Lytechinus pictus: one gene and its partner. The protein of the gene in region 1 purifies or fractionates together with the protein of each later gene. This does not show direct contact. Links are inferred from orthologs where the notes say so. Each region holds a gene or a part of one and is shown in the gene's direction. Other genes may lie near its edges.

What was found.
Region 2: the proteins of FGFR1 oncogene partner 2 homolog (region 1) and programmed cell death protein 10-like purify together in Homo sapiens (affinity purification with mass spectrometry; 3 studies listed by BioGRID and IntAct, counting the BioPlex papers as one, with this or other methods). This does not show direct contact. The link is inferred for Lytechinus pictus from reciprocal best matches to the Homo sapiens genes FGFR1OP2 and PDCD10.

What each region holds. Positions count from the first base shown.
Region 1 is NC_087253.1:9,972,576-9,989,704, reverse strand, and holds the start of FGFR1 oncogene partner 2 homolog, read left to right. Parts: upstream 1-8,496; 5' UTR 8,497-8,619; intron 8,620-11,319; 5' UTR 11,320-11,327; coding exon 11,328-11,465; intron 11,466-13,084; coding exon 13,085-13,348; intron 13,349-13,952; coding exon 13,953-14,303; 3' UTR 14,304-17,129. Other genes in the region: tetraspanin-9-like, read left to right, coding at 497-580, 1,186-1,290. UniProt on the Homo sapiens protein: May be involved in wound healing pathway.
Region 2 is NC_087260.1:24,494,543-24,511,127, forward strand, and holds the start of programmed cell death protein 10-like, read left to right. Parts: upstream 1-8,582; 5' UTR 8,583-8,676; intron 8,677-13,628; 5' UTR 13,629-13,799; intron 13,800-14,302; 5' UTR 14,303-14,401; coding exon 14,402-14,482; intron 14,483-16,090; coding exon 16,091-16,262; intron 16,263-16,585. UniProt on the Homo sapiens protein: Promotes cell proliferation. Modulates apoptotic pathways. Increases mitogen-activated protein kinase activity and STK26 activity. Important for cell migration, and for normal structure and assembly of the Golgi complex.

The sequences.
Region 1 (17,129 bases):
TATTAACCCTTTCAACCTGAATTCATGAGGTCATACATGTATCTAAGGCCCCCATGGACCGATTCTCACCAAATTTTGGAAGTGGGGTTTTTCATCATGCTCTACCAGAATATGGTATAAAAAAAGAGTTTTTGTGACGTCATCACTTCGGTACTCTGGTGTATGGACGGACAGAAAATTGAATGAAAAACAACATTGACACATGGAGGTTTTATGTATTAAAATTGGGTGATTTCAAGTTCAGTGTTGACCTTTTGGTGTTGGTGTTAGCTCAGTTTTTACACGATTATAACACCAAAAATAACATGAAGATGGTCCCGAAAAGTCACTCACTAGTTGTTGAGATGTCAATCATGTGATCTGGATAAGTTTTCCCAAATCTGAATTAGTTTTGGAGCTAGGGGAAGCAATCCAAATGTCAACACTAACACCAACACCAAGGCCAACACCGGACTTGAAATCACCTATTTTCATATTTTGATGTACTATTCTACAGGGTTGTCAGGATTACATACTCATGACGCTAGAGGATTGGTTGCTTTTGATTGGAGTGGTCTGTATCGTCTTTGTCATCATACAGGTTTGTGAAACTCTTCTAGTTATAAAGCTATGAACAACCAATATTAACCCTATCTATATTAAGTGATCTATGTCAGACATTTATAATTGATTCCAGTGTCAAATTAGCTGATAAATTAAACCTGCACTGTTAGAAATTTGTTACAATTGGCTATCCATACTTACAAAATATCTTAGACCAGAGTTTGAATTAAACCATAATATAAAATAAGGGTCTTGGTTTGGGTCAACTTGAAGCATGCAGGTTGTATGAAATACCACAGTGGCAATAGGCTTTTAAAATGTCATAGACAGTAGAGTCCTAGTTTGTGAGCCATGGACATTTGGAGCTTCACCATTTTTAACAATTGTTCAATAAGAATTCATGCTGGCAATTATTTTATAAATCAAATAATGCGCTGGTTAAGTTGGCGATTTTAATGGAAATGTAGGCATCGCACGTATTCATAATGATGTGCACAAGCACTCTGGGCTACCACCTTATGCTTGTGGCCCAACCAGAGATACCATCAGGTGTGCTGCATGGCAGTAGTGCTCAGCACACACTCTCAGCTGTGCATCATTTGTTGTATGATTCATGATGGTTCTTTCTGCTTGTCCCTGTAGATCCTGCTGGTCTGGTTCATATTGATCCTGTTCTTCAAGCTTCACAGAGGAAGTAAATACTGCTGTGGGTGTGGCGTCTACTCCTCCGTCAAGGAACACGATTAGTCTTCCTCCAAAGGGCAGAATTGTCTTCCTTCATGTACCATTGTGGCCCTTATTCCCTTATAATAGCTGATTTTCACCAAAGCTTACAGCTGTACATGTACTTTGCAGGAAGATTGTACAAATTCAGTCAATACATAATACAGTCCAGAACCAATTAATGACAATAATAATAACAGGCATTTATATAGCGCCATCTATCTAAAATATTATATTCCGAGGCGCGATGTTATTATTATTATTACCCTGGCTTTAGCTCGAGCTGCCTTTCAGGGCTCATGCATTCAAGGAACTAATCCTGCCAGGTACCCATTCACCTCACCTGGGTTGAGTGCAGCACAATGTGGATAAATTTCTTGCTGAAGAAAATTACACCATGGCTAGGATTCTAACCCACGACCCTCTGTTTCAAAGTCAGAAGATTAATCCACTGGGCCACAATGATCCACATATAATATTCAATAAGTATAGTCTTCCTTCAAGAACAAATGTGGCCCATATTCTTATGATTGCTGAAATTCATTACGTCTTCAGAGGGCATTCCAATTCTATCAGTACTTACTAGCACATGAAAGCTTTAGAATTTAGATAAAATAATCTTGATGCAAACCACTAAACCTACATGTAGGCGGGAAAGGAGTACTTCGTTAATTAGGGCCAGATAGTTACTAACTATATGTTTAGTATAGCAAATGTAATAGTGTATGCAATGTCTAATAGTGCCATGGCTGTGATATGACACAACAACATAAAATATTTCAAGCACTTTTTCAAGTTTTTATTGTGCTTGATATCCAAACATGAGCAGGTATACAATGCAATTGTCAAAATTTCACTTTTCACATCAATTTTACTTGTAAAATAATGCTTCCAACTTCAGATTTGAATCCATCATAACCCTTTGTAAGATGGGCCCCAGGTAGGTCTTTCATAAAGCTGTTTGTAAGTTAAGAGCCACTTTAAGAACGACTGGTGAATCTTTCTTACTCGCTAAATAATCACCAATGAACATTTAATGGTAAATATCATTTACCACAAGAAATGATCACCAGTCATTCTTGAAGTCACTCTTAAAGCTAAATGAACGCAGTTGCAGTAAAACACTGATTTCGTGAGAAAGTCTGTAAAACCAAGGTAAAGTATTGATATATCATCGTGGATCTAGATCTGGTACAGTTACATAAACTGAACTTTGTGAAATCATAATATCTAGCTAAAAACGATCACACTGAAGATCGCCAACACAGATAGGCATACGTGGGACAGTGTATTATTATTGCTGGAATAAAGACCCGATGGAAGTGACCGAATCTGCGCTTGTTTTGCTTATTACTCAGCAATTACACAATTTCTTCCAGAATCCTTTGGCACATATTTTTTATTTACAAACAGACACTTTGGTGATCATTATATTAAATTTTGTAAAAAGTCATTTTGAGATCGTTCCCACAACTGGAATTTATCTTTAACTTACGACCAGCTTTATGAAACGACCCCCAGATCTCATCACAGCTACCCATGCACACAGCGATACTGGATGCTGATGTAACAAAGTATCTCAATAAACTCATATAGATTGACAAAAGTGGTTTATTGAATGGTTTGACCCAACAAACTTACTCAACTTTCATGAAATAGGAACTCTTTTAACTGTAAAATGAGAAAGTTCTGTTATCCAGCAATTATAAAAACATGTAAATGAATACATGTACTGTATGTTTTTTTAATAGCCAGATTGTGCCACCTAACTATAATTTGTTTTGATTCTTATACATGACATCATTTTTATTTGCACACATGTATAAATTGCACAAATCATGATTTTATGCATAAACTTTGAATCAGGTATGAGGTGATTTTTAGCAAAATCATATGGGAGTTGTCATTATAGAATATTGCTTTCTTCTAGAGAAAGATTTTATTCTAATGTTTCTTTTGTGACGGTAGCAAGGAAGATGATCTATGCAATCAGATATCAATTCGAATGCTTTGACAATTTTGTTTTGTGGAAAATACATGTGTATAAGTATTCAGACTAGTGAAGTTGAATTCTGATGAAATTCAGTAAAAATAATGAAATTAGGGCAAATCCAAGAAAACACAACCATGAATCAGTGGAAAATCTACTGATCAAACCTGTTTGCAGTGTTAATTTGCTTTAATGCATACTGCAGTGTTCGAACTGATGTATTATTGAAAAATCAGTGTTTGTAAGGTTTTTCATTGTAGTACAAGTGCGTTGTAATATATTTATTGTACATAACGCTGAAGAACACAAAATTTGGATTTTAAACTACCAAAGAATGCAGAATTTGCATTTCAGATAACTGTGGACTTAAATATAATGATACAGTTGTGCTCAAAAGTTAGTGAACCCCACCACAAAATACACTCCTTCATGCTGAGGGTTGATTGTAGGCAACAATATTACAATGTTCGGCGAGCCAAGAGAAACAAACTTTATTGAGTGGAATACTTTATCGTCTGACTTCACAATTTAGTATGTAGTAATAATAATAATATACAGTTCTTGTATAGCACATATCACATGAATAAAGTCTCTATGCGCTTCCAAAGGAATTGGATATTATTACCCCAGCTGTAGCTTGGCAGCCGTAATTACTAAGATGACAGCACACATGCATTTCAAGGAATAAATTCCTGCCAGGTACCCATTCACTTCACCTGGGTTGACTTGAGTGCAGCACAATGTGGATGAATACTTTGCTGAAGGAAACTACGCCATGGTTGGGATTTGAACCCACGACCCTCTGTTTTCAAGACTTAGCCACTGGGCCACAACGCTCCATGTAAAACATGGCAGAACTTAAACATTTTAAATTTGTTCAATTTCTGGTAGGGCTCACTAAGTTTTGAGCACACTGAGTGTAATGATAAAAAATACAAAATTTTCTGCTGCGACAGTTTCTCGTCTGCTAATATCTCTGACGATATATAAGGTTCTGGTTCTGACTGATATGAAGGTTAATATTAAGGTGTGTATTTTTGAAGATCAGGGCCCCATTTGATAAACAGTTGATATGATCGCAACTCTTGCTGGGATATCATTTACCATGACAACAGTAGAACTTCTGCTTCCTGATTGGCTCTTCCAATGAAAGTTGACTTTCCAGCAAGAGTTGCTATCATAGCAACTTTTTATGAAATGGGGCCCAGGTTTTATGTTTAGCTTTGTCATGTGTGACGGGGCAATTGTCACAGAGCAAATGTCATGGAACTTGATCAAACATGCCTTATTTTTTATAGAAAATCTGTTTTTTTACCAGATATATTCGTAAGCATTGTAGCAAATGCATTGCATAACTCCATGTATTCCATTCCTCTTAATGTATTCCAAAAACACAAATGTCTTTCCAAAGTATGTCTTCTCCAGAGAAAATGGTTGTATATATTCCATCTTTAAAAAAAAAAATATCAATGATGTTTTTAAAGCTAGGTATCTAATTATGTATATATTTGACAACATTTGTACTAAATCTGCAGTACCTGCTTTATAGAAGGTTAAATATTTATTTTATATGTATTTTCATAGTGGAAAACTGATAATATATCGTACTGATTTCTCTTTACCATGAAATGTTATTCTGTATGTATTTTAGGTAAATATGTTGATCATGTTATTGATTTCAATGGTATAGCAGTCCTATTTATAGGTCATTACCTCTGCAGTCACATTTCCCGTATCGTGTCCGCATGATGAGTAGGAAACGGGTGTTTTGCGGATTTCTATTCGAACCACATACATGAAGCTGGTACAAAAATTGTAAAAGGCCGTTTTTGACTCACTGTACGGCCATAGTAGACAAAATGTGACTGCGCCAGAAGTAATTCTAGCACCGCATGTATTTTTCTTTCTTAAGGAGCTAAAGAATGATATTTTTCAGTTAGCATGTCAACGGTAGGCTATTTTGCAATCTTATCATGGACATAAAATCTGCAGTTTGTGTTCATAATGATAAAATTCCCCAATATGGCAGACAGAACAGTAATTTTCAATTAAGTCTACGCCAGCTCTATTTACGTCCCCTTTGGTCGGATCCAACTTGGTGTAATCTTGGTCTACAACCAGTTTCGTCTAATTGGTCTAGTTGGTCTACTTGCCACGTAGCCCAATATATAATTTTCACTAATTTCCAGAGAGGCTTTAACCTTTTTTTAAAATCCAATATCCATTTATGCTGCACATATTTACTCGTATCTGCCACTAATTAGTTTTTTTTTTTCTCCCTACATTGTATTTTGATAATCTATCTCCTTTTTTTTTCTGGCACAAAGTAGGCCTATGCTATTTCTTCTGAGGCCTGTAACACAACAATAGCAATCATCGTAGAACTTTTTTTTTTTACCGTTGATTGCATTGATTACATGTATAGTGAGTGATTGTATTACCGACCGGCCTTGTATTACCGAACGCGCACATCGTACGCGTCAGAAAATAATTTCATTAGCTCAAAATTTTGTAACATCCTTTCAAAGGGAACTTGAATAGAAAGATGATGAAAAATTGTCAAAAACACATTTTCAAAGTCTTAATATTCTAAAAATAATAAAATATGTTCAAAATAGCTCATCAGTGATTTTGTTTTTTTCACAACTTTTCCCATAGAAAACACACGTTCGGTAATACGATACCTTTTTCAAGTGACCAAAATATTTAACATGCGAAGAGGGGTCCGATTGGAAGCTTATATCATAAAAGGGACAAACGATTTTGGCAAAATTTTTACATATTTATATTTTGTAGGTAATTGTGTATTTATGGTGGAAGTTTGGTGAATTTTATGAGAGTAATGTGTTTGATATGATTGAATTCATGAAAAGTGTTCGGTAATACGATCCACTACCAAACAATTAATCGTGAAAATCATGAGTAAGATTAATCGTGAATCTTTGTGAACCCTGGATTCGCTAACATCTCATATTTTTACTTTTAACTGTTCATCAACTCTGCCTGCGATTTTTTTCTGTACATGTTTGTGCACTAGTTTCGTCTTTTCAAGTTCTGTTCTAAAGTCTTATTTATTTTGCATAATATTAGGATGCTTTCTTACTAACTTGCCAGAAAGGTGCATTTTGCAAGCCTTGCATTAAGTACTTAGTGTATATCCCTTTTCTTATTTTGTATTTATTTATTTATTTTATTTGATTAATTAATTTTTTTTTTTTGGGGGGGGGTGTATTAGCTGGGCAACTCAATTTTAGATAAATTTGATCTAACAAGGATCTGTTTTGAGCTGAACTGGTTAAAGTAATCTTAAGTCAAAAAAGGAGTTTTTACCCAGAGTTTGATACGAGTTAGAAATTACAAAATGAAATACATAATGAATTAGGATACTTCTAAACTGTTTTGAAGGTTTTTTTTATTTTTCTTTTCTTCTAGTATTATAAATGATAATGATGGTGATTTGATAGTCATTATTTTTATATATAAAGATAATATATGATATCATCAATATAACATTGTTACTGTAATTGTCACTTTTATTATTATCATTATCATTATTTCTCTAATTTCTATTTTTAGTACTTTCATTATTATCGATTGTTGTTACAGTGAGTATTATTACCTTGTAGTATATTGCTCATGAAAAATACTGAATCATGGTAAATTGAAGAAAATAAGTGCACTTTTTATGGATTTTGTATTCACGGTACTTTATTTAGAGAGAAAAGGGAATGCATCTCAAATTAAAAGCTTTTTTGTCAAGTTTAATTGACTGTTTTAAAGAAGTATATGTTTTTTATGAGCTCCGGCCCAAACCAAAAAGTGAAAACTGATTGATTGATATATAGATTGAATGATTAGTTGTTGATTGATTGGTTGGTTGATTGATTGATAGATGAGTGGATGGATTGATGGATATATGGATTGATTGATTGATTTATTGATTGGTTGGTTGATTGATTGATTTATTGATTGGTTGGTTGATTGGTTTGTCAGTAGATTGGTTGGTTGATTTATTGATTTATTATGTTTGTTTGTCAGTTGGTTGGTTGATTTATTGATTGGTTGGTTGATTGATTGATTTGTTTGTTTGTGTTTCAGTTGGTTGGTTGGTTGATTGATTGATTTGCTTGTTTGTCAGTTGGTTGGTTAATTGATTGATTTGTTTGTCGGTTGATTGATTGGTTGATTGACCGATTGGTTGGTTGACTGATTGATGAATTGAACGAATGATTGATTGATCATAGTGTCTGAATGGTTGATTAGTGGCTTCATTGGCTGATTTGATAGATGGATTGATTAACTAGCCTGATTGATCAAAGGTTTAGGCTACTTGTTTTGTTTTATTAAGTCATGATTTATCTGTTGATTGGTGTATCAGTTCAGTGACATTGATTAACTAATAACATTTTTTAATGATTGATTGTCTGAGTGAGTGATTAATCGGTTGATGGACCAATTGGTTGGTATTAGTAGCCTTGCATATCCATAAAAAAAAAAAAAAGATGCACCTGAAACAGATTTTATTCACATTTCAAAGTCAAGAACTACATGATAAGTGTATACTTTTCCCAGAAACATAATAGATTATGCAGCACTTTTATCAATTTATTGTATATCTATACCTTTATAGAGCAATGTTAATGAATCAAGTTGAACACGGGCATCCGTGTTTTTCCGGGAAAGGGGGGATGTTAAGTAAGTATAATCAATATAATCAGTATAATCACCCCCCCCCCCCCTTTCCCGGGCCTGGCTGGTCTCTGTCCTTATATGTCCCCTTTTGTGTACTCCCTTTTGTACATAAATGTGTTCCTCTTCTCTCCCCGCCTCTCTCTTTAGTTATCATATTATATTATATTGCCATTTCTTTGTTGTTTATCCAATGTTCTTTGAATTCGTAATGAGGAACCTTAATTTACAAGCATTGCTTCACTTAGGTCTCCTCGTCTTCCTTTAAAATTATTTCTTTTCTGTCTTAAGCTGTATAATGTATTTAAAAACAATGTTTTCTGCATACTCTGTTTTATATATACCTGTATGTTTTATCATGTACTCTGCTCATTGTTTCATACACACTTATATGTTTGTCATGTATTCAAACTCAAAGTTGGAAGACAAATAAAATGAACTTATGAACTTATGGTATCGAATCCCGGACCGACTTCATGATGGATGGAACGCTACGAGCTCGGCCAAGCCACGGAACCATGTCGATGTCGCGTCGCGAATTCACGAACAGCGCCATCTCCGGTGAACTGCATGCCAAGATCAGAGAGATAAGCCAAAATTGAAGTCGGAAGTGACAGGATTTGTTTTGCATTTTATGCCTTTCCTTTCTTTTTCCCAAAGCAGGTAAAAGAATTGTGAGTATCTCTCGTTTTTTCTGAATGAATTTCATTGACATCTTGTTCACTTGTATATTCCTAAATTTGTAATTCATATTGCTAATCGAGTGACGACAGCCGGCTACGCTAGTAGTAGTACCGGCGCGGTAGGTACCGTAGACGTAGTACCGGTAGTAGTAGTACGGTACGCTACGCCTACGGCTAGTTACACGCCGCGCCTCGCGGGTCGAGACACCTTGGCTTTTCACCGGTATATCGAATGGGGCGGAGGAGGCGGAGCTGAGGCACATCGCATGCCGGGATCGCATGTATAGTCACGTATAAACTATAATTCAGGAAAATTTTCTTAGGTGGTTCCCACTTTGAAGAGTAGATAAAAAGAGAGATTGCCAATGAGATTTATTTCATCAGTGATGATTTTGACGAAATAAATCTCACTAGTAAACTGTCTTTATCCTCTCGTGAAAAATCTGAAATTAAGATAAATTCCCTATTTTTGAATATTTGGGGAAGTTCTTTAAGTTTAAATGGGTTGAATACTGCCGGGTTGAATACTAGTGCATGTACAGTATTTTGCATTTGAAAAATCTAATTCTGATAGTATGAATCCTAATATTACTCTACCAAATTCAGAAGTTCAGCAGCCTGAGGCTGAGACTTCCAATATTGGAAGACTTCAAGAATCAGAATTAATCCAAAGACCAAACTGACTTCACACAGTCAGGCCGATGTTAAAGATAAATTCCAGTTGTGGGGATGATCTCAAAATGACTTTTTACAGAAATTAATATAATGATCACCAAAATGTCTGTATGAATAAAAAATATGTGCCAAAGGATTCTGGAAGAAATTGTGTGCTTGCTGAGAAATAAGCAAAATAAGCGCGGATTCTGTCACTTCCGTTAGGTCTTTATTCCAGCAATAATATTAATACACTGTCACACGTGTGCCTATCTGCAGTAGAGGCGCACGGCCAATATGGGAGACTCTCTCCAATAAGGGAGACAATCTCCCACATTGGAGACTTGCTTTGCAAAAGGACAAAAGAAACAACACCAACAAAAGCATGATTTTTTCCACCCAAAATTTTGTCTCACTGAGGTCAGAAGCCCATTTGTTTTGTGTGTGATTGACAACAAAAATCCTTATCAAAACAAAAGTAGACGGTGAATTTTTAAAGTAGACGGTGAAAAGGGGTAATTTTTCATGAGGAATCTGCTTATCACATTTTTATTTGCCGCCAAGTTAATCCTTTTGCAGCAAATGTAAACAAAGGAAATTGGACTCCAAAACTGGAGACTGTCTCTGAAATTGGATACCTAGATTCTTTACAAAAGTCTCTGATATTGGAGATAATCTCCCACATTGGAGACAGTCTCCAATATTGGCCGTGCGCCTCTACTGATCTGTGTTGGCGATCTTCAGTGTGATAGTTTTTTAGCTTAGATATCATGATTTCACAAAGTTCAGTTTATGTAACTGTACCAGATCTAGATCCACGATGATATAGTAATACTTAACCTTGGTTTTACAGACTTTCTCACGAAATCAGTATTTTACTGCAACTACTGTCATTTAGCTTTAATCTAAGGGATCTACATTTTCGTGTCAAAATTTGTGATCAATGACTTAAACTAACTACAGTACGGAGCGTAGGTATACAATGTACACACTTACAAAGAGTTGCGATGGGCCCCGTCTTACAAAGATTTGCGATAGATCTGATCAAACTCAACTACTGTTCAAAAATATTTCTAGAAATGATGCATTTTCAATATTAAAATTCATTGATTTCTTGACAATTAGGTGTGTTTGCCGTCGTTACCAAGGACATTTTATAGATTTCCTATAGGTAGAAAAAATATGACACTGATGGATTCCAATAGACTTACGATTGATTGGATCAATCGTAACTCTTTGTAAAGATTGGGCCCAGATAAACCTCGACTACTGTTATATGGAAATCCATCGATATCATAATTTTTCCAACAGGTCGAACAGGAATCTTTCACAATGTCGTTTTGTAGACAAAGAAGAGCACACTGAATCAACAATGATGAATGTATGAATATTCATCGAAATTATCAGATTTTTTTTTTTTTTACAAACGAATTATTTTAGATGTTGATGTTGCTGGCGTTCCATGGTTGTGGTTGATCGGATTAATCGCAACTGTTTGTTAGACGGGACCCGGATGTGTAGATCTGCATGTTCATGTAACCCTTCTAAGAGCGACAATGATAGTTTTGTTGAACTGTGAATTTAATGTCGAGTATTGCCTTGTATCGCCCTCAGATCACAGCATGATGACCATGATGTCCATTGGTGCAAGAAGGCATTTAGAAGGTTGAAAGAACACGACAGTCCTTTTAGGGTTAATAGTCGATACCTTGGTCACATTTGTTCTACGGCGGCCGTACGGCGAGTCGAAAACAGCTGTTTTAACATTTGTTGTACCAACGACATATACATGTAGGTGGTTTGAATTAAAATGAATAAAACGGCTGTTTTCGACTCGCCGTACGGCCGCCGTAGAACAAATGTGACCAAGGTATTAGTCTTCAGATATGTGACCCTCGTAGTGTTGGCTCTGCCCATACCTCTAACTTGACTAAATGACAAAGGCAAAGTAACGACGATTATCCTGCCCTTAGTTTATTAAGCTATTTTAAATTTTTGCAAAATTTTAACGTCAAATTATCTTGTGTCACCTCCTAGATCGTAGCATGATGACATTGTCCATTGATCAAGTACTGTGTGATGCAAGAAGGCTGGTTGAAAGGTTGAAAGAACACGACAGTGCTGCTGATCATCTTATTCAAGAAACTACAACTCTGAACAAGAAAATTGAAGTCATGAAAGAGGTATTAAAATGTCTCACCCTCCACCTGAAAAACTATGACAAGTCACTGTGTAGGGCTCAGTGTAATTAGCTTATACCCCTTTCATAAACCCAATTATGCGGCTAACAGCAGCATAATTTGGTCGTAAAATCGGAGGAGGACCAGAGTTATCCGCATTTTTTTAATGCTGCAATTATCCGCATAATAGCAGCATCGGGACAAGATTTTGAGTTTATGAACGTATTTCCAAATAATGCGGATAATTGCCATGGTGCGGTCACAAGGTCACCCTTTTCCAACACATCGCATCTGAGGGGGCGTGTCCAGTTGTCATGACGATTATCCGCCTTTTTCAGGACGGGCGCTCGTAAAAATAATGCCGATAATTTTCGGAGTTTGTGAACGCAATTTTTATTGAATTATCCGCATTACTATTAGGCGGCTAATTGGAAGATAGGTTTATGAAAGGGGTATAAGATAGTTATTTGGTCTCCATATAAAAGAGTATTTATTCATCTTATACCGGCATTGTCAAAATTTGAAGTGGTAAACTTTGAATACAAAGAGAGATACTAAAGACATTTTGCACACTAATTGGAAATTTCACCGAGTTTCCACATTCACTATGCACACATGAATGGATTCTAAACTTCCAAAACTTTTTCTCTCATGATACTCTCACCAAATACATCTCAATTCGATGAAGTACTTGTTTGTGTTATGATTATTATTGATAGGGTTAAAGTTATATGAATTATTAAAGGCTTAGGATCTGCAGTTTCAGACTTACTGAAAATCTCAAAATTCATTTTGGTCATTTTACTGTGGGTTTTGAGTTGGAGGGTCATTAAATTGTTCATGTTAAAGATTTTTTACAGGTATGTGTGATTGAAGCCGGGTAATAATGCTTTTAAAAAAAATGCTACGTGTTAGACATACCAAGGTTTTTTACCTGACTGCTCAGAAAGCACGAATGCCTGTGAGCAAGCAACCAGGGGACCAACGGCTTAAGGTCCTCTCGGAGGGACCTGGTAATGAGGATAAATGCCTTACCAAAGGGCACTAGTGCACCACTTGGGAATCGAAACCGGGTCACCGGAATCCGGAACCCCCGCTCTACCGACTGAGCTATCGCGTATTATCTTGCATATTCTGTTCTGAAAAAAAGAAATGATTTGATATCTGTGATTGGTTCAATATGAAAGGTTGACTTGAGCTGAGTCTACTGAACTACATGTAAGCTACAATGTAGTGTAATGGAAGCGTCGTGTTGTAGCGGTTCTGACTCTCGCCTTGTAATCAGAGGGTCGTGTGTTCGAATCCCACCATGGCCTAGCGTCCTTTGGCAAGGCGTTTATCCACACTTTGCCACTCTCAACTCGGGTGTTAAATGGGTACACGGTAGGATGTAAGAGCCTATATGTAGGTATGCCTAGCTATTGAGTCTTGGAATGCTCCGCAGGGAGTGGAGAAGGTGTATACATTGTATGCAGGCATGCAAGGATCCGATGACCGGGGTAATAATATGTCTGTAAAGCGCTTAGAGACGTCGTTCTGATGTATTAAGCGCTATATAAATGCAGAATATTAGTAGATAAATGATAATATGTATAAAGCGATGATTGTGTTTTTATTTTCAGTACCAAGAGGAGATCGAGGAGATGAACAACATCGCACGCCACCGGCCCCGCTCCGCCCTGATCCTTGGGATCCAGCAGGAGAACAGACAGATCAGGGAGCTGCAGAAGGAGAACCAGGAGCTGCGGGTGGCCCTGGAGGAGCATCAGTCGGCCCTGGATCTGATCATGAGCAGCTACCGGGACCAGGTCTCGAGGCTGGTCAACGCGAACCAGGCTGAGAGGGACAACATGATTGCTAATAAGAAGACGATGGAGTTTGAACAGGTATGGTTTCGCTTCAAATGTCCGGGTGGGTGTTTCATAAAGCTGTTCGTAAGTTAAGAGCGACTTTAAGAACGACTGGTGATCCTTTCTTGTAGTAAATGGTACACACCATTGCATGATTGGCGATTATTTAGCGCGCAAGAAAGGATCGCCAGTCGTTCTTAAAGTCGCTCTTAACTTACGAACAGCTTTATTAAACGGCCCCCGGACTGATCCAGGATTTACCAGAATGATAAATATAATTGACCATCACAGGATCATCGCCATTGGTAACTGCAATTTTGACAACTACCATGGTAACAGAGCTCAGGAGCTAAATCAAGGTTTCCATGGTAGATACAACAATGCCAAAGTTTTTATGTAACAGACCCTTGAACCTACATGCTGTTTTAGTATCAAGTACCTCACTCTCTTCAGGATAAGCTACTGCTGAAAAAGTTGAATTTACTGGTTTTACACCCAAAATAATGTTTTTATTTCCTTGGTATACTGTAATTCTTTTAAGGATCTTTCCACCCTGTACATGATATAGTATGTTCCATTCTATGGTAAACAAGTTTATTCTTCCCTTTAAACAGAATACTCTCCCTCTATTGATTAACAGGACCCAGCCGTTTCCTCGGTTGAGAAGATCATCGAGATGGCTGCCGTCATGCAGCGGGCCATCGACGTCGACGAGCAGAGCTCCTACGACGTCGAGGAAACCCTGGCGCGACTTCAGATGGAGAACCGTGGCCTTCGAGAACTGCTGCAGATCTCCAGGACAACCCAGGCGAGGCACGCACCCACCTACAGCAGGGAGGGCAGCGAGGACTTGGGAGAGAGGGAAAAGGGCAACGAAGAGGACGGGGAGAAGGAAAACGATACGAGCGAGAGTGACAGTGATAGAGACACGCCGGTCATACACGACACAACTGTCATAGAAATGGATAAGAATGGTGTTCCGTTGAAATGATGTTGGCAGATTCTCTCAAATGAACTAGGGTGAAAATCCCTCGTGATGAAAACTGCACAAGGATGAACTCTATGTGTGACCAAGAATGGATACATCCTGCATAGCTGTAATTGTATTATATTAGAGTGTGCCCCACCCAGGGTTGGGCTCAATTACAAGGTAATTGATCAATTGCATAATTACTTACATTTTTTTTTAGTAATTGTAATTGTAATTAAAGTTTTGAATGGGAAATAATTGGATTGTAATTGAAAAAAATGTAATTGATTTCAATTACTTTTAATTACATTCAATTACTTTACAATAAACTTAACACTCAATCCTTATTAAACTGGGGGGGGGGGGTCAATTTGACCCTCAACTCGACAAATTTCATCACTACGCCGTCGCGCAAAGTTTTTTGATCGCGCCGCTCACTGACTTTTTACTTTCAAATCTTGCACATCTTTTGAGACCAAAATTGCGACGCCCGGGGACGCGGTTCTGAAATTACGCAACATTTTGTAAGTGCATGTCAGACCCGAAATTGCTCAAAAACGTGATTCCGTGTACAAAGTCAATGCAAATTGTGTTTTTTAACAAAAAATCATAGATGTATGATTATTTTCACTTTTGTTGGTTTAAATGGATTTATTTTATGCTATTTATGATCGTATAAGGGTCCCCGACAAAGTTCATTGGAAAAAACAATAAAAAACAAAGGTTTGTAAAAACAAAGAAATACATAAGAATTAAAAAAACAATAAAATACATAAGAAATTAATTATATTTTTGCAATTTTTTTGTAGATATTTGTTAAAAATGTAATAATTGATAGTCCAACCAAAAATTAGCATTCTACTAGCTATATAAATTGAGTTAAAGGCAAAAACACACACAAAAAACAAAATTTATCATACGCTTATTTGCATAATTAATTAATCAAAAATATAAAGAATAAATAAAAAATAAAAATTTACCATACAGTCTTGTAGTTTACATCCGGCTCTACGCGCGTGCAAATTTTTGCGGCGATCGCGCGATCAGCGGCCGAGATCTGAGGGGGGTGAAATTGCCCCCCCCCCCCAGTATATACTGGTCTGAAATAGCCCAGTTAAGATAGGGTTAACTTGTGATTTAATTTCATGACCTTTTTTATGTCAACTGCTTCTGGCTCAAAGAGGGAAACAGGCAGAATCCATTCTCTTTTAAGTTTCTCTGTAACTTAGAATTATGTTGAAAATAGGTGGTAATGTGTACAGAATAAAAGTGATTTCAGTTATGACTTTCCTAGAAAGTAATTGAAATTGTCATTGACAAAAGTAGTTTGTAATTGTAATTGAAAAAAGGAAAAGTAAATGTAATTGAACATTTCTTCAATTACATAATTGTAATTGTAATTGAAGAAAGCAGCTGAGCCCCCCCCCCCCCCTGGCCCCCAACCCTCCCCCCTCCAGAGACAGAAACCCTTTGTCCCAACCATATCGATAGAGATGCCAGTCTTTAGATTCTTTGCCAGATTTCGGGTCCTGCAACTCCCCTACTTCTGGGGCCCCGTTTCATAAAACTTGTTATAATAACAATTTGCAATAACAGTTTAAAGCTACTGAAATCCGCGAATCTGATTGGTTGATAGTACATTTGCTATTGAAATTGTGCATTTGTTATTATAACAAGTCTTTATGAAATGGGGAACCTGGTATTTATTTATTTTTTTATCGTGCAGCACATATGGTGCTATTAGATGTTATGGGCCCCGTCTTACAAAGAGTTAAGATTGATCCGATCAATCGTAACTCTATGGAAATCCATCAGTGTCAAAAAATTTTCTTCGAAAAATTTGCACTATGTCCTTTGTATGCAAAGAGAAGCGCAGTGAATTTTCAAGAAAACAATGAAGGCATGAATATACATCATAGCTAGAAATTATTTTGAACAAACTGTGCATAATATATGTTGACGTTGCTGGCCGTCCATAGTTACGATTGATCAGATTAATCGTAGCTCTATGTGAGACAGGGCCCTGGTTTGTGAAAGCATTGTGGTGTAGCGGTTCTGACTCTCACCTTGTAATCATAGGCTCGTGTGTTCAAATCCCACCATGGCCTAATGTCCTTTGGCAGGGCGTTAATCCACACTTTGCCACTCTTCACCCAGGTGTTAAATTGGAACCTGGTAGGATGCAAAAGCCTATGTACAGGTAGTCTGCAGGAACAGACCCTGATTGAAACTTTGATCAGCAAGTGTGTCTCCATGCAAAGACTAGCACATACATGTACAAACCTTGCTGTTTCAGAGGGCCTTCAGTACAGAAGGCATGAGTAGGCTGCACATTCAGACCCTTAACTCGAGTGAAGGGTTTGCACAGCAGACTAATGTACATACAGGTAGTATGCTGAGTTGAGTCTTGGAACTCTTGCTGGAATGCTCCCCAGGGAGTGGAGAAAGTGCATGTAGGGTTGATAATAATTACTTGTGAGTGATAAAAATGCAAAGTACTATGTTATTATTATTAATTTTTTCAAAGTTTTTGGAATCCATTTTATTCTAGTTTAATTTCTCTCTTATAGTATAATTTGAGTTGTTTCGCAGAGCTTAGCCTTAAATAGGATGAGGTGACCAGTATTAGTGAGGAAGCAACTCTTATAAAATTGTTTTAATTATTGGAAAATATTTTGGGTTAGGTATAAAAATGGGGTTCTTATTTAAGGGTTGTAGAAATTATTTACCTGAGAAAATTTGAATTACAGCTGCTTGACCAATATTTATTCACCCCTAGCAATTAAGAAATTTTGAGTGAGGTATAAAATTGGGTCCTTATTTAACTGTTTTAGAAATGATTTACCT
Region 2 (16,585 bases), on another chromosome or scaffold:
AATCTCACATATACATACACACATCACACGTTACGGAATAAGCCATTGCAGCTAACTCTAATTGAATTGAAACGCCGATACGCTGGCTTCATTCAGCAGGCTTTCTGGCATCTAGCGGTTTACCTTTGGTTTGGATGACTCCATTATAAAATAGGGTCCGTTGTATAGTGTAATTTTTCACTTTTTCTATTTTAACAATAATTTGATGTATATTCGACAAAAAATATAGATAAATAATTACACAATAAGATAAATAAAATTATTTATTGGAGGAATTTGACATTTATTTTCTTTTTTACTCATACGTTGGAAGTATATGCATATAATTTTCCCCTTAAAATGAATCGACTCGTCAAAATAATCGGATTGCGTTTTACGTCCCGACCGAAAAGGTGGAATCCATCGTACGAAGACAGGTGAATAGAACTATCTTTAATCCTCTTTTCTTTTCTAACCACAGAAACTTCTTTCATCGCCGCAGTCCGAAGCACATCCTTTCATATGTTAACCAGAGAATAAACTGGAAATCCACAAAGAATTCCATCGAGCTTTTTTGTGTTCATTTCATTTCGCAATGCAAAGCCAAAGCTCCTTGCATAGATCCTTAAATAATAATGAGTGGAAAAGATGGAATACCGATATGTATCTAAAAAGGATTAGGGTCGGGGGAAAATCGCTTTTTATTTGATACAAGAGATATAACATCGAAGTAAAGTAAAATACTTGGAGATCCAGAGTAAAGGGATAGATCAGAGAAGCAGATATATTTTACAATAATTCGGCAACCTCATAGGTCCTTTGGGGGCCTTCCGGATTGCTTGTCGCCTTTTTACCTGTGTTTTTTAAATCAATATTGATTAATGAAGGAAGTTCAGTTAATTACCGAGAAGCCTATACATCTCAAAGTATAACTGAAATCGAATGACATCTTTCAAATAGAAGAGATTATTGGGTCCTTTTGTGAAGACCGGACAAAATCTTTAATCCGATAAGCAAATACAACACTATAGCACCCTCCCTCCGGATAAAATTATTCCAACCTAGTTGGTATAGCCGAAAAGGCGTGCAAGAAATACACTGGGGGGGGGGGGGGGTGTCCTCATGAGGCCCGTGGCTAAATATTCTCGATTTGAAATATTCATATTTAGATTTCACTCTGTTGTCTCTGCTGAGAAAAAATATATGTTGACTGCCGTGTTAAAAAAAAGGGAAAGAATGTAATACAAATGGTGAAACCGAAGGGGAAAGGGCATTAGACATTAATATAAAAAAATAAAATACATTGCAAGAAAAGAAGAAAGGGGAGGCAGAATAAAGATGGGGGTCGGATGGGGGGGGGGGGTAAAGTATCATAATTTAAAAGATGTATGCCCCACCCCATCACAAATGATATGCCTTTACAAGTACTGATAATGCCAGGTAAAATTCATTTTATAGAACCGAGTATAAAACAAACTACCGAGAAACGCCTTCCCCTCGAGCATTGGTTTATATAGGTCTACACCCTAACAAAATACCAAATCATTTCAATATACAATTTAAAAAAATGTAGCTCAAGTACGATACTAGTCTTTGTTTATTTAATCTATACAATCCATATTAAACTCTTATGCTCTGTCTTATATCATTCATGTACATTACATGTTGGATTTACTCTGCATTCAATATAGGCTGAATATTTTTATATACTATTATGTTCACATTTATTATGTTTGTATATCTTTTGTAAATATGTTTCTATGTTTGTACTCTCATACCCCGAGAGGGGGTCGATAGAGTCAATAAATCTTATCTTATCTTATCCAAATTATTTATAATTGTCAAGAACGAATTGATTAATAAAAGACATAAAGGGAATTATATTCATATATGACAACGTCACCGGCAAACATTTTGATTCTTGAAATTGTACAAATTTTCTTTGAGAAATCAAATTCTTAGCAAGATTAGCGAGATAGGAAGAATACCGAAACATCAGCGATGGCATATAGGGAGTATGTCTCATCGTCCGAATGGCTTCAAAATCTTGTAAATTTTACAACAGCAAATCCCGCTCACATTGTTGCCTAAAGTTTAGGCCTCCCGTGGTTATAGTTCAGAAAATTGTACAAAACCTGGAAGTTCGAGAATATGAATAAATATGAACGTGAATTTTGAAACGTTAATTTGCATATTCAGAGGTGGATCTACGGGGCCGGGGGAGTTAGGGGGTTTAACCCCCCCCCCTTTGGGCTGCCAAGTAATAAAAAGTAATGACCTATATTTTGGAGCCAACCCCCTTTTTTTGCTTGTCAAATTTCTCAGTACCGAAATTACCTTCATTTTGTAGTGAAACCCTTTTTTGCTTGTCAAATATTTAGGACCCCCCCCCCCCCCGCTTAGAAAAAAAGCTAGATGAAATAAATAAAGGAAATAGAAAGATTCCTTGCTGAATTATTTTTTCTTATTCCTTTACGTTTTAGAAGCTGACATTTATGCATGTTTCCGCGAGGGGATGGGGGACGATATCCTCTTCACATCAGGAACAATGTAGGAGACTGTCACCCCGTCACATATGGGGTGGGGTTCAGTCCTACCAAGTGACATGAGGGTAGAGGACGGTTAGAAAAAGAAAATGTATGAAATGGAATGAGATCAAGTTTAATCTATTAAAAAAACAGACGTATGCGAGCAAACGAAGATCAGTGAGATGATACAATAGAATAAATAACACATGAACGGGTTGTTAGGACCCAGTAGGGTATACAGAAGGAAAGGTTAGAGATGACAGTTGTGTATTTGCTGCACTCAACCCAGGTGAAGTATAGAGATGGGGGGGGGAGACAGCCTGAACGCAACAAGGTCACAAAATCTAGAAAATGTTAATGCGCCTCGGAATATATAAAAACGGAGCTATACAATTATCAGTATTCATGTAGCATGAATTAAAAAGAGCAATATTGTATGCTAATTCATATGAATTGATGACATATATAGGAGTAGGATCAATACCTACTGTTTGCTACACCATGTAAAAAATGTCATCTACCCCCACCCCCTTTATACACACTCACATTTGCTATATATTATCTGGCTTTAATGATGTAGTAATTTTTTCTCATTTTATATGAATTTTGTGAGGTGTTACATCTTCTGTTTCTGTTTCTGTGAAGTAACCCCTGTATACATGGTATAGGAACTCGTCCAGGCTTCCCGCCGCATACGTACATGGCTAATAACCTTGTATTTAATTTGAATTACTTTACCTGAACATTGACGGCGCTGTTTATAATAAGGAAATTGAATAAATAATTACTGATTGATAATACGCTGTCGTCTATTGCATTCATCAAAATTATGACTGGCAGGATATCAAATCCTAAAGAATGACGCAAATCCTTAGATGATATACATCAAATCTATTCTGAATAAATTTCCCTTTTGGTTGAAATGATGAGCCATTTATGAGCTCATATGCATGACTGGCAGAACTGATTAGAGCAACCGTTAGAAGTCTTTTACGAGGCCAGTCTTTCTGACGTGTAAACGTCTACATGACATAATGTGAGTTGGAATCACCAGAAATTACTACCAAATCTATAATTGAAATCTTTTTGCAATACAATGCGAGCATTAAAGTATAATGAGAGATATTGTACCCGATGAATGATAACCAGTCTATGCTAAAACTGAATTTCGTGTTTGAAGCTTGAAATGTATTTCTTTTATTTTTAATATGTGAAATTCATTTATTTTATTACGAACATTTCACCTAATTCCCAATCCATGTTTATATCAGTAAATTTTCTAACAATTTTTTCTCAATAAACAGAAATTTGTTTGGATTTGAAATGTGTAAAAATTAGTTCAAATGTATTACGACATTTACCTGAAGAATAGAAATATCGTAAAAAGTATATAAAAAAGATTATTGTAATCATTTTAATGAACTCGAAGAATGAATCGGTAACATATAACAAGTCGCAGTTAGCTAGGGAGCAGTGGCACGGAGTGGAGGGGCGGGGAGGGGGGAACAGTCCGTTCGCTTTTCAGGTAGTGAAAAAAGGGAGACGAAAATTAAAGAAAAAAAAGGAGGAAGAATAGTTTTAATTGGCTAAAACTATAAGCATGTCCCCTTCCTTCCAATGCATGGACTATACCGCCTGATAAAGGCCTAATTTGTTACCATCTTTTCTATATGGTCAAACAAACCAGCCATCTTCATTCCCTTAATAGATTTAGCTTCGGCTTTTATGAGTATAAAAAGCTCAATTAAGAAATACAAGACGTGAAAGCAATCTGTCAACACCGCATTTCATTTTCATTCAAAAGGCAAAAGACAAAACAAAACTTGAAACATCAATTGCAGGATAGTGGGTGGATATTATTAAGTGTCTTGTAATTGATAATTTGCTTTTGGCCAATCAAATATCAGGATTTCGATTAGGCCCTATATACTTGAATAACAGTTTATCACTCACTGATAACAAGCTTCATCTGCTCATGATAGTCAACAACAAGTCATAGATGAGGGATTTGGGTCAGGATATAAAGTGGTCATTACTTTAATGATTCAAAAGAAACAGATTAAGATTTTTAACATCTTAAAAAACAAAACTGATTCGAAAGAAACAATCCCAGGCGTCTGTATATATGTCTGTGTCTGTAGGCCCGCCCCGTTGACGGTTCTAGTCCCACACCGCCCCTAATTTTTTTTTCTTTAATTTTCTTTATGCTCGTCATAAAGGGCCAAAGGGTCAAATAAATTAGAACATTCTTATGTACCCTCAACCATTTATTAAATACCGGATCCCTCCTGTTCTTCAACGCATCCACGATCTCTTCATATTAAATAATTTATACAATAATTAATATTTTCACTTTATACACAATAAAAACGCTGTTTATTTTTTTTTCCATACAACGCTGTTTACTAAAGAACTTTGCAGTAGTTATTTAAAGTTTTTAAAATCTTAAACAACAAAATTATTATTTTTTTTAAAATTTTTAATAAACTAAGCATTGTTGTTTAAACTGTTAAAACTACTGTAAAGTTCAGAGTACTACTGCGTTGCATATAATGTCAAACATCGTTTCAACTTGTTTGAAATTGTAGTTGAATTACTTATCAGGGACCTATATAAGAAATGTTCTATCCATTCCAGGACAGAGAGGGGGTTTTATAACAAAAAGAAAGAAATACACATTCTTCGTGTTTTAAGTTTTGCCGGGGTTCGACTCTTGAAAAAAAAATCATGCCAATTCAAGAAAATTTAATTGCAAAGTTTTATCAATAAATATCACATTCTCAACAAACGTACAGTGTTTGACTTTTTTCGACCATGAACTGAGAATTGTTTTACTTCCAAATGGCGAGCAAGGGCAGTCTTATTGAATTCTTGTTTTTTAGACCTTTCACTAGTACGCCTTTGCTTCCTGGCTGTAATGGAATTATTGTCATGATGGTACTGCATCGGTTAGTTTCGTGCACAATCAGTAGAGCATTTTAGCAATCACTTTGCAGACTCTTTCTAATATACAACACAGATAATCTTTTTATCAAAAGCCCTTCATAACAAAGCAGCCTTTGTCAAAATCGGTGAATCAAAACAGTAGTGTCGTCCTGGACTCTGGATAAACAACATATTTGCAAATTTTCCGATCCGAATCTTAAGACGATGTGCTGTCCCTGTCCACCAACTTTCGACAATGACCTCTAATTTGTCCATTATGATGACGGGCATTTTCAATAGATTTTGAACGTTGCAGAAAGCGTCTGCAAAGTGGATGCTAGTGATTACTTGGCACTCACCCGAAATGAAGACGCATAATTATCAAGAGGGCGCTATCTAATATTTAGAACAGAATGATAAAGAGAGTGTTCAAATGGTTTATTTTTCAATTATCAAAACAAAATAGAAATTAAAAAGTAACAAAATAATGATGTACAATTCACAGAAACAGGTTGGCAATACCTCATTGATATAGATATGAAAAAAATAATCAAAATGATATAGCAGATAAATTGTAAAGAGGGTGAAGTACGGTTAAAGGACAAGTCCACCCCAATAAAAATTTGGTTTGAATAAAAGGAGAAAAATCCAACAAACACAACACTGAAAATTTCATCAAAATCGGTTGTAAAATAAGAAAGTTATGACATTTCAAAGTTTTGCTTAATTTCACAAAACAGTTATATGCACATCCTGGTCGGTATGCAAATGAGCAGACAGATGACGTCACCCACTCACTATTTCTTTTGTATTTTATTATATGAAATATGAAAAATTCGAATTTTCTCCTCATTGTCATGTGGAACAAACTTTTATTCCTCCCTGAACATGTGCAATTACCATTATTTTAACAGTTTGTGGTTGAATCAAGTGGTCCCAATTGTCAAATCTGTAAAAATTGAAATATTGTATAATTCAAACAATAAAAAACAAAAGAAATAGTGAGTGAGTGACATCATCGACTCTCTCATTTGCATATCAATGAGTTGTGCATATAACTGTTTTGTGAAAAATAAGCAAAATTTAAAAATGTCATAACTTTCTTATTTTACATCCGATTTTGATGAAATTTTCAGTGTTATGATCGTTTGATTTTTCTCTATCCATTTAAATCAACAAATTTCTGGGGTGGACTTGACCTTTAAAGAAGCTTGTATCACATTGCATAAAATGTCATGCAGATCAGCGAAGAGCACTAATCTGCATGTAGATCAGCGAACAGAACTAATCTGTATACAGATCAGCGAAGACCACTGATCTATATACAGATCAGCGAACAGAATTAATCTGTGTACAGATCACCAAAGAGCACTGGTCTGTATACAGATCAATGGCGAAGAGGGGGTGAAATTAGTACAAAATTGCCCTGAGCAGTCCTATAGAATGGGCCTCTACTATCTCCCCATCTCACATCCTCTATCTGTCCATTTTGTTTGCAAAAAAAATAACAAAAAATGTAATTTCGTTCATTTTTTTTGTCAATTTAGTCGCTTCAACATCTTCAATTTTCTGGAAATTTTATCAATGTAAAGCCAGTGGAGGGAACGTCCCTATACCATAGACTAACAAATTGAAATTGAACTGAGATGAGGGATGGGTGGGGGTGGGGGGGGGGGGGGGGGAACGGTCGTTCTCAAAATGCGAATGGCTCATGTTGTTTCACGACCCATATAATTTTTTAATTACCCTTTTCTTCTCCCTTCTTCTTTCTATTTTGTTTTCACTAATTTGAAAAATCATATATAGGCGGTCGCTCCCATGTTCTTACTAGTGTCCCTATACACCGCCCTCTTTAGTCGTGCGTAAAGTCATTCGTATATCTTTATGTTCGTATCTTACAAACAGCTTTATGAAACATTCACCTGGAAATGATGTATTAAGCATTGTTTGACATGTAAAATAAGTAATGAAGAGACTACTTATCAGTAAATTAATTATTCTGTGAGCAAAAAGTGCGAGTTGAAATTTTATATTAACCTTAAAAGAACTGGACATTTGACACTCTTTTTATAATCATGAATAGCAGGCTTATCGTACTAAACGATAATTTAAAGCAATCGCGTTCATGAGCTGAAATTGAAATGTTTGGTATATTGGCATGTAAAAGGAAAATTTCAAGGACTGTTTGTAGGAATTCATCGAGACCGTGATACATAGGCCTATCAAAGCTCACTATCAAATGCATGCGTCCCATGCGTAGGCTAAAGGTTAAGCATGCACGAGCTGAAATTTTTAGCAAACAGATCTGAAACGGATCATTGTCCCCCCGCCCCCCTTGTCTGTTGAATAAGTTCGGGGACTTGTCTCTCTAACCCCTGTCCACAAGGGAAGCATGTCGCATTGTAAGAATTTCATTCATCTTTTTGGAAAGCAATCCGTGTTGGACTGACAAGGTGAATCTATCAAATTCACTTGAATGTCTTCAAAAACAGTTATAAACTGACATATTAAAAACGATAACTCATCAAACAACGAAAACACTTGACCATGACCACTGACCACACCCCCGCCACACCCCTCATTCTGGGCCATTATTACCATTGGCGGCAGAAGCCAAAACATTTATGGGGGGACCACCAAAATTTTTGGACAACCAAAAAAAAAAAGGTTATATATCAACCCAAATTTTAGAGGGGGGGGGGGGACCGACAGAATTTTTTGACAAGCAAAAAAAAAAAAAAGAAGGTTATCAGCAAAAATTTTAGGGGGATCGTCCCCCACCTCAAATTTAGGGGGGACCCGGTCCCCCCGCCCCCCCCCCCCGCTTCCGCCCGCTATGCTTATTACCCCCACCTTGTTAACCCCTCTCGAATCTCAGCAATCTGATTTGGAATCTTTCGCAAAGTGACTCCACCCAAATTGTATACATATTGCCAATTTGTTCTTAAATACTTGTTATTTGCATCGTCATTTCTTTACAAAATTCAAGAAAATTATCTTAAAAATAATTTTAATGCTATTTATATTTTTACAGAATAAAAAAATCACAAAATTTTGTACAAAATATTTTTATATCACAAAATAAAGCCTTTCAAAATTTCGTCTTTTGAGGAACAGAAAAGCTGAAGAATACACAAATATTAGTACGTGGGACTTGAGATAAGATATTTTGCACGGAACTCAATACCGCACACTACCTGTTACGTTTGATTGAATTATTTGAAGGATTTCGAATGACATAGAGGTAATTTTAATGATTATGTCGTAATAAGATAATGATTAGTTAATGTAGATTGGGAACAATTTACGAAGGGTGCAATATTTAGCTTCTAAATATAAATTTTATGTATCCTAATTTAACCCGTTTGGCGTTTGTTGACGTTCGTCGTGTTCGTTGATCAATGACTCATTAATTGTTTGGGTTTTTTTTTTTTTTTCATTTGTTGATCCTGTCTTTCTTGAATTATTATAGTGAGATCGAGTTTGGACTCGCCGGTTATTAGGCTACATCGAAAATGTGAAATTGTATCGACAATGATATCCAGATTATCGTCAATCGTCATGATGACAGCCCTATCTTACTTCAATTTCAAACTCAAACTTTAAAGTTCAATCTTACTTAGGCGTAGCCTAGAGGCTAGACTCTAGAGTCTAGTCTAGACTAGTAGAGGACTCGGTGATCATATTTTTTAAATACGATTTTGATATTGTCATTTGATCACTGAGCCTAGACAAGGCCGGCTATCAGCATCAGCAATATACGGAAGAGAAGGTAGTCCTGTAAAGAGTTGGATCACGTGCTACATAGTGAAGATTGGACCAATGAATCAGTAGAGGCGCACGGCCAATATGGGAGACTCTCTCCAATAGGGGAGACAATCTCCCACATTGGAGACTTGCTTTGCAAAAGGATAAAAGAAACAACACCAACAAAAGCATGATTTTTTCCACCCAAAATTTTGTCTCACTGAGGTCAGAAGCCCATTTGTTTTGTGTGTGATTGACAACAAAACAAAAACAAAAGTAGACGGTGAATTTTTAAAATAGATTCAATAGACGGTGAAAAGTGGTAATTTTTCATGAGGAATCTGCTTATCACATTTTTATTTGCCGCCAAGGTAATCCTTTTACAGCAAATGTAAACAAAGGAAATTGGTCTCCAAAACTGGAGACTGTCTCTGAAATTGGATACCCAAATTCTTTACAAAAGTCTCTGATATTGGAGATAATCTCCCACATTGGAGACAGTCTCCAATGTTGGCCGTGCGCCTCTACTGTGAATGTCCAATTGTTCTTTTAAATGTATTTAGACTAGGTCAGGTGCAGTTAGCCAGGAGGCGTCTGGGGAGTAAAAGTCATCTACTCTACGTAGGCTTACTCCCCACTGACGCCTGGGACACCAAGGTATATTCACGCACGTACGGCCACAAAACCTGAAACTTTCGCCCCCGAGATTTCTACTTTCCCTCTAAAAGATCTAGCCCTAAAACATGTACATGGGGTTCAACTTCATTTCCAACATTTCTGCGATATCGATTTCGTTTTTAAAGAAGAATTCATTAAAAAAACGAGAAAAATGGTATGAAAAGATGGGAAGAGCTTACGGCCGTGTTTACGTCGCCATCTTGATTTCTTTGTCTTCCGCTTGGCGACAGCACGCAATCGCGGGATTTGCGTGCTGTCGCCAAGCGGAAGACAAAGAAATCAAGATAGTTGAAATATATTTTTCATTAGTAACCAGGGAATAATTTTTGTATTCACCAGAGTGCTCAAAAACTTAAATTTTGGGCATATTTTTGTGTACGCCCTCTATTGGTGGAAAGTAATATAGTAAGAAAATTTTCATTTTTCAATCTCTATTTTTAATTATGAAAAAATAATTTAAAGAATCAAATTTACTTAAGGGCCAAGTTGTATAACAAATAGGTATAATGGAAACTGTCAGTGTAAAAAAATCAAGCATTTGTCCCAAAGAAAAGGAGAAAATAAGCCAAATATTGCTACCCTTATTTTGCAACACATGGAGATGTAACTGAGAACAAGGTTATATCATAACCTTGTTCATCGAATGAGTGAATTTCTTCATGAGATTCCAATCGTTCGTTGTAACCTGTAATGTAAGCTGCCATTTTGGTTCTGAATATTCATGAAAGTGACGACAGACTTCACTCCTTGACCCTAACGTCACTTACAGTGCCCGGATGTTTCCATGAGTTGAACGTTTGTCGCCTGTGTACGATTTACAAGCAATCCAATGGCCAATGGTTTCAACCCGAAAGTTTTTCCAACGGCCATATGTTTGTGAAATATCATAACACCATCGGATATACTCACTTGTTCACTGCAACCATCCTGCCTGTGGGGAATCTACAGTACAGGTACTATGGCATGCCAATGCTGTACAGAGCACACACTTTAAAACATTAAAATATCACTTTTGTGACCAAAATTACTACCGTAATTTCCATACAGTTGCAATTTATTTTTCATTAGTAACTTGGGAATAATTTTTGTATTCACTAGAGCGCTCAAAAACTTGAATTTTGGGCATATTTTTGTGTACGCCCTCTATTGGTGGAAAGTAATATGGCAAGAAAATTTTCATTTTTTATCTCTATTTGTAATTAAGAAAAAAATAATTCAAAGAATCAAATTTACTTAAGGGCCAAGTTGTATGACAAATAGGTGTAATGGAAACTGTCAGTGTAAAAAAAATCAAGCATTTGTCCCCAAAAAAAGAGAAAATAAGCCAAACATTGTCACCCTTATTTTGCCACACATGGAGATATAAGTGAGAACAAGGTTATATCATAACCTTGTTCATTGAATGAGTGGATATACTGGGACTAGGGAGTTTATGACATGTAATTACATGTATTTAGAATAAAGTGAAAAATCAAAGAACCACGTCGGGGGTTTTTTGTATTGCAAACCCCCTGATGGCGGGTGCATGTTGGCGAGCCGTCTGTGTACGAGGAGAAATAAAAAAATTAAAAATGTTACAAAACTCCTCGAAACAGCTGTCTATGTCACTGTATGAGCATGAAATCAGTGTTTTCACAGGGTGAAAGGGGAAGTTCACCCTGAAGAAAAGTTTGTTGTGAAAATAGCAGAAAATATGATAAAAAATATTGGTGAAGGTTTGATAAAAATCCATTAAACTAAACTATCTAATGATTAAGAAAACTATTAGAGTTTTGGATTTTATAAACGAGCAGCTGCCCATGTTATGTAATAGAAAATGCAAAAATTTCAAGTTTTTAATGGTTTGTGATGACTTATTTTGATTTCTTTTTAGGAATGGGTGTGAAATGATTTGTCCATTTATTGATATAATAAGGGTGCAGTATAAACCATTTTCAATTTCCAGAGAAAATTACATTTCATTGACTTTTTTTACCATTCGATATCATATGTAGTAAAGCTGCTCGCATATGACGTCACAAATCAAAATCAAATAATTTAAATTCTTTGATGGATTTTTCTCAAACCTTCAGCATTATTTAAAAATATTTTTTCAGCTATCTTTACAAAAAACTGTCAGGGTGAACTTCCCCTTTAAGACTATTGGCGTTGATTCGGCAGACTCATAGCCATACGATAAGGGCTACATGTAAGTCTGTTTTGGAGGATTTGAATCAGACTAAAAATCTTGGACTTGTAATTTTTCAGAGTCTTTCCTTGATTTTTTTTTTATAGAAAGAGATAAAACTTGGAAAATCGTTCAAGGCGAGACTCGAGCCTGCGTCAATGATCGTGACTGCAGTGAATTCATAATAGCGCTTCGTTTTACCGATCGCGCAACACCAGATAAGCTGATCGATACGTTGGAAATTATGCTATATCCTGTTCCATGAATATTCATGAGGCGTACTGTAGTCTGACTAAATAAACCCTATTGGGTAGTAAGTCTGCCAAACTGACGCCAATATAGTCTTAACCTTTTTACAGATCCAAAACTAACTTTACAAAACTGAATCCCAAATTTTTCAAAATTCATAGACATTTCCTGGATTGTTCAAGTTTGATTTAAAAAAAAAATCAGACAATAATACAGCGAGCCTAAACTTGGTCTAAGTGACCAAACCCTAGGAATTAAAGCTTTTTTTGTTCACACACTTTAAAAAATAGTAAAATAATTATGGAATGCGAGCACGGAGCGAGAGCAGATAATTTTGAGCTATGTACCAGTACTACCGGTATGAGGCAAACAGTTCTTTAAACATAACATGAATAACTTTGCTACGTTTAATTGTTGTTTTTAATTTCCCAAACCTATCCTGGAACAAGTATTGACCAAATCCTTTGGCCCTTTCATATATTAAATTTCTGATTTAGCATTGAGATTTGGAGAGTAAAATAATATCAGTATCATAGTATAAAGGGGTCTAACATTAAACTTTATGCACCATCCAAAGGAACTCATTTCACAGTGCACTGGCTCTGTGGTGATTTACCCCCCCCCCCAAAAGCGCTAAAATAAAAGATCATTTTTCTGTTTGATATCTGTCTCTTCAATGTTTTTATCTCTTATTGTAGGCCTATTCGTTACTTTTGCTTTTCAGGATAATATTATAGGCCTATCTTAATGTTAGAACTTCTTGTTGCCATATACATGTATTCATCTATTTCCTTTCATATAGTCAACATTTCAAGTTATTTGTCTTTTATTAATCTCTTACCGGTAATTATTTTCATTTTATAAAGTTTTTTTTTAAACTGAGGTTAGATGGGTCCAGCACTCCTGTACACTAGAATCATTGTTTTCCACAATAATTCAATTTTCATCAAATTACCGGTATGGATCCAGGATGTAATAACTGCTGAACTGAGTTCTTGAATTATCAATATCATACAGTCATTTCCACTATTCATGTTTGATTAACTATTTTGTTCTATCTATGATCTTGTAGAGCATTGTGGCCCAGTGGATTAGTCTTCTGACTTTGAAACAGAGGGTCGTAGGTTCGAATCCCAGCCATGGCATAATTTCCTTCAGCAAGAAATTTATCCACATTGTGCTGCACTCAACCCAGGTGAGGTGAATGGGTTCCCGGCAGGATAAATTCCTTGAATGCATGAGCGCTGAAAGGCAGCTTGAGCTAAAGCCGGGGTAATAATAATAAGAATGCGCCTCGGAATAGAATATTTCTAGATAGATGGCGCTATATAAATGCCTATTATTATTATCTACAGGTAAAATGATGATTTGACTGCAGAGGGATTCATGGTTTAAGTTGATTTCCACACCATTCTTCTGGTTGAAGTAGTAGACTGGAAGAACGGCACCAAGATATTCTTTTGGTGAAGTCGCTTGATTCAAGAAAGGAACGTTGAGCTTTGTCAAAGCTTGTGCCACTTGAAAAGGTAAACAATCTCAACCTTACAGTATTATAGTTATGATTTCTATTTTGTTGTATCCAATATGGGATTTCTCATCTTTAATGTGTAACTTATTTTAATGGAGAGTTTTGTTGAGAGTTTAGTTGTGAGAGAGGTTCTTGGTGTCTTTTTTTGTCAGCTGGAATGAATGTGACCATATATTGCTGTTAAATTGGGAAATTCCATAATTCATAATTCATAAATTCATAATTCATAAACAGATGGCTTTTGTGTGAGCAACATTGACTGAGGAAAGGTTAAATATGAAAAACATTGATAAATCTGTATGTATAATACATTTGCTAAATTGTCTTCATACTGTAGATTTCAATTGCCAGATAGGCAGAAATTTCTGGAGTGTTATAATTGTGCAATTTGTTGCCTAGCTATGCAGTCCTGAGTAATCCTGTAGGACCTTGTTTGGTGAATAGGAATGCTATATAAACACAGGTATAAAGTTCTCATTTTTACTTCATCTACTGTTACAGTGGGGAAAGGAAGAGATTGTTGTTTGTCCGCATAGCCTGGTACCACACTAAACCATCACCATTGCGACTGCAAACGGGTCAGCCCGGTCAACGAACAGAATGACCATGGAAGATGAACATGATACATCCACCGTTGAATCCTTCCCTCTTCACATCCTCCTATATCCCATCCTTGATGAGGTAGGTTTACTTTTCCATTGTGATCTCTGTCTTTCAGTGTAGTTTAATAATAATAATAATAATAGGTATTTATATAGCGCCATCTATCTAGAAATATTCTATTCCGAGGCGAACAATAAAAGAAAGAATGAGAAAGTTTGGATGAGTGTCAAAGTGCCAATAAGTAATTCTGTTAGAAAAAATAAGACTTCAGTTAAGATTTGAAGGTCTCCAGTGATGGTATAATTCTTAAATTTAACGGCAAATTATTCCAGAGAGAAGGTGCTGAGTCAGAGAAAGTTCATGCACCATATGCTACACATGTCTTGGGAGTCTTAAGAAGTTGCTGGTGTGATGATCTTAGGCTACGAGTTTAACCTCACTTCCAGCATAAAATCAAACTAAATAGCCCTTACGTTTGGTAAATTAAAATAGACATTTTTCAAAGAATGCAAGGTGAATCCACCTCCCCCTCCCTCTCCCCCTCCCCCCCTTGTTAAACGGCGGGAACAGAACAGGATTTTAGACTGACCAAATTCATTATTAGATTAAATTGAAATAGAAACTCATGTGTGATCTTAAAGGTCAAGTCCACCCCAGTATAATATTGATTTGAATTAATAGAGAAAAATCGAACTAGCGTAACGCTGAAAATTTTATCAAAATCGGATGTAAAATATGAAAGTTATGACAAGTTTCGCTTATTTTTCACAGAACAGTGATATGCACAACTCAGTGACATGCAAATGAGACAGTCGATGATGCCCTTCACTCACTTTCTTTTGTTTTTTATTGTTTGAATTATACAGTATTTCATTTCTTACAGATTTGACGATAAGAATCAACTTGACTGAATAATTTAGTATTAAACAGTGGTAATTCCACATGTTCAGGGAGGAATTAATCATTGTTTCACTTGACAATGAGGAGAAAATAAGAACATTTCATATTTCATATGATAAAATACAAAAGAAATAGTGAGTGGATGATGTCATTTTTCTACTTGTTTGCATACCAACCTGAGCCGGCCGCACAGAATTGTTGTTAGCCTAATCAGAGCGCTAACAGTAATCCCAGTCACATCTTTCGGATTGTTAAGTCAAAATATTTAATCAAATGTGTAAGTAATGCATTGTTGAAACATTAGGCATCGCTGGCGCATTACCGGTTGTAACAGGGCATCTGTTAGTGCATCGTTGTGGCCCAGTGTATTAGTCTTCTGACTTTGAAACAGAGGGTCGTGGGTTCGAATCCCAGCCATGGCGTAATTTCCTTCAGCAAGAAATTTATCCACATTGTGCTGCACTCAACCCAGGTGAGGTGAATGGGTACCCGGTAGGAAGAAATTCCTTGAATGCTTGAGCGCCTAGGCAGCCCAGCTAAAGCCGGGGTAATAATAATAGCAGGGCCCGCTGGGAGAACAGTTTTCAGAACTGAAGTGGCTTTCCTGGGTAAATATACCTATATTATTATTATCATTATCTAAGCGCTAACAACCTTTCTGTGCGGTCAGTACAGATTATTAGAAGCACATATGTTGGACTTGTGCTTTCTGCAAAAGCGCCCCTACCAGAGATATTTAAGCGGTATATCATTATAACTCAGAAATATCATTTTGTTTTGTTGCAGATGCAGCAAACGGATGTGGCGGCTTCGCAGACCTTGAGGGCAGCATTTAACAAGATGGAGAAGAAGAAACCAGGTTTCACAAAGCAACTCATCCACAGTATCTTAGAAGCCAAGTCCAAGAATGTGAACCTGACAGAAAGTCTCCTCAAGTTAGCAGCATTAGACAGTGAAGGTGAGACATTGCCTTGGTATATCACAAAGATTAGATATTGATCATTGAACAAATTATCATGATTGATTGCATTGAACGTAATGTACAATCAGATTTAAAAATAAATCCTATGATCAAAGCTTAGATGATGTGTGTACATGTACACATAGTGTGGATGTAACATCTTGCCCCTAATCAACTCGTGGTATGATTTCCACCCTTTGTATACATATAACTGTAATGAAATTGATCTCTCACTATAAAAGATAAAGATAATTATTGCTGATGATAAGTTGTATAAATTTACAGGATAAGTTATATAAATTTGCAGATCTGTGCATCTT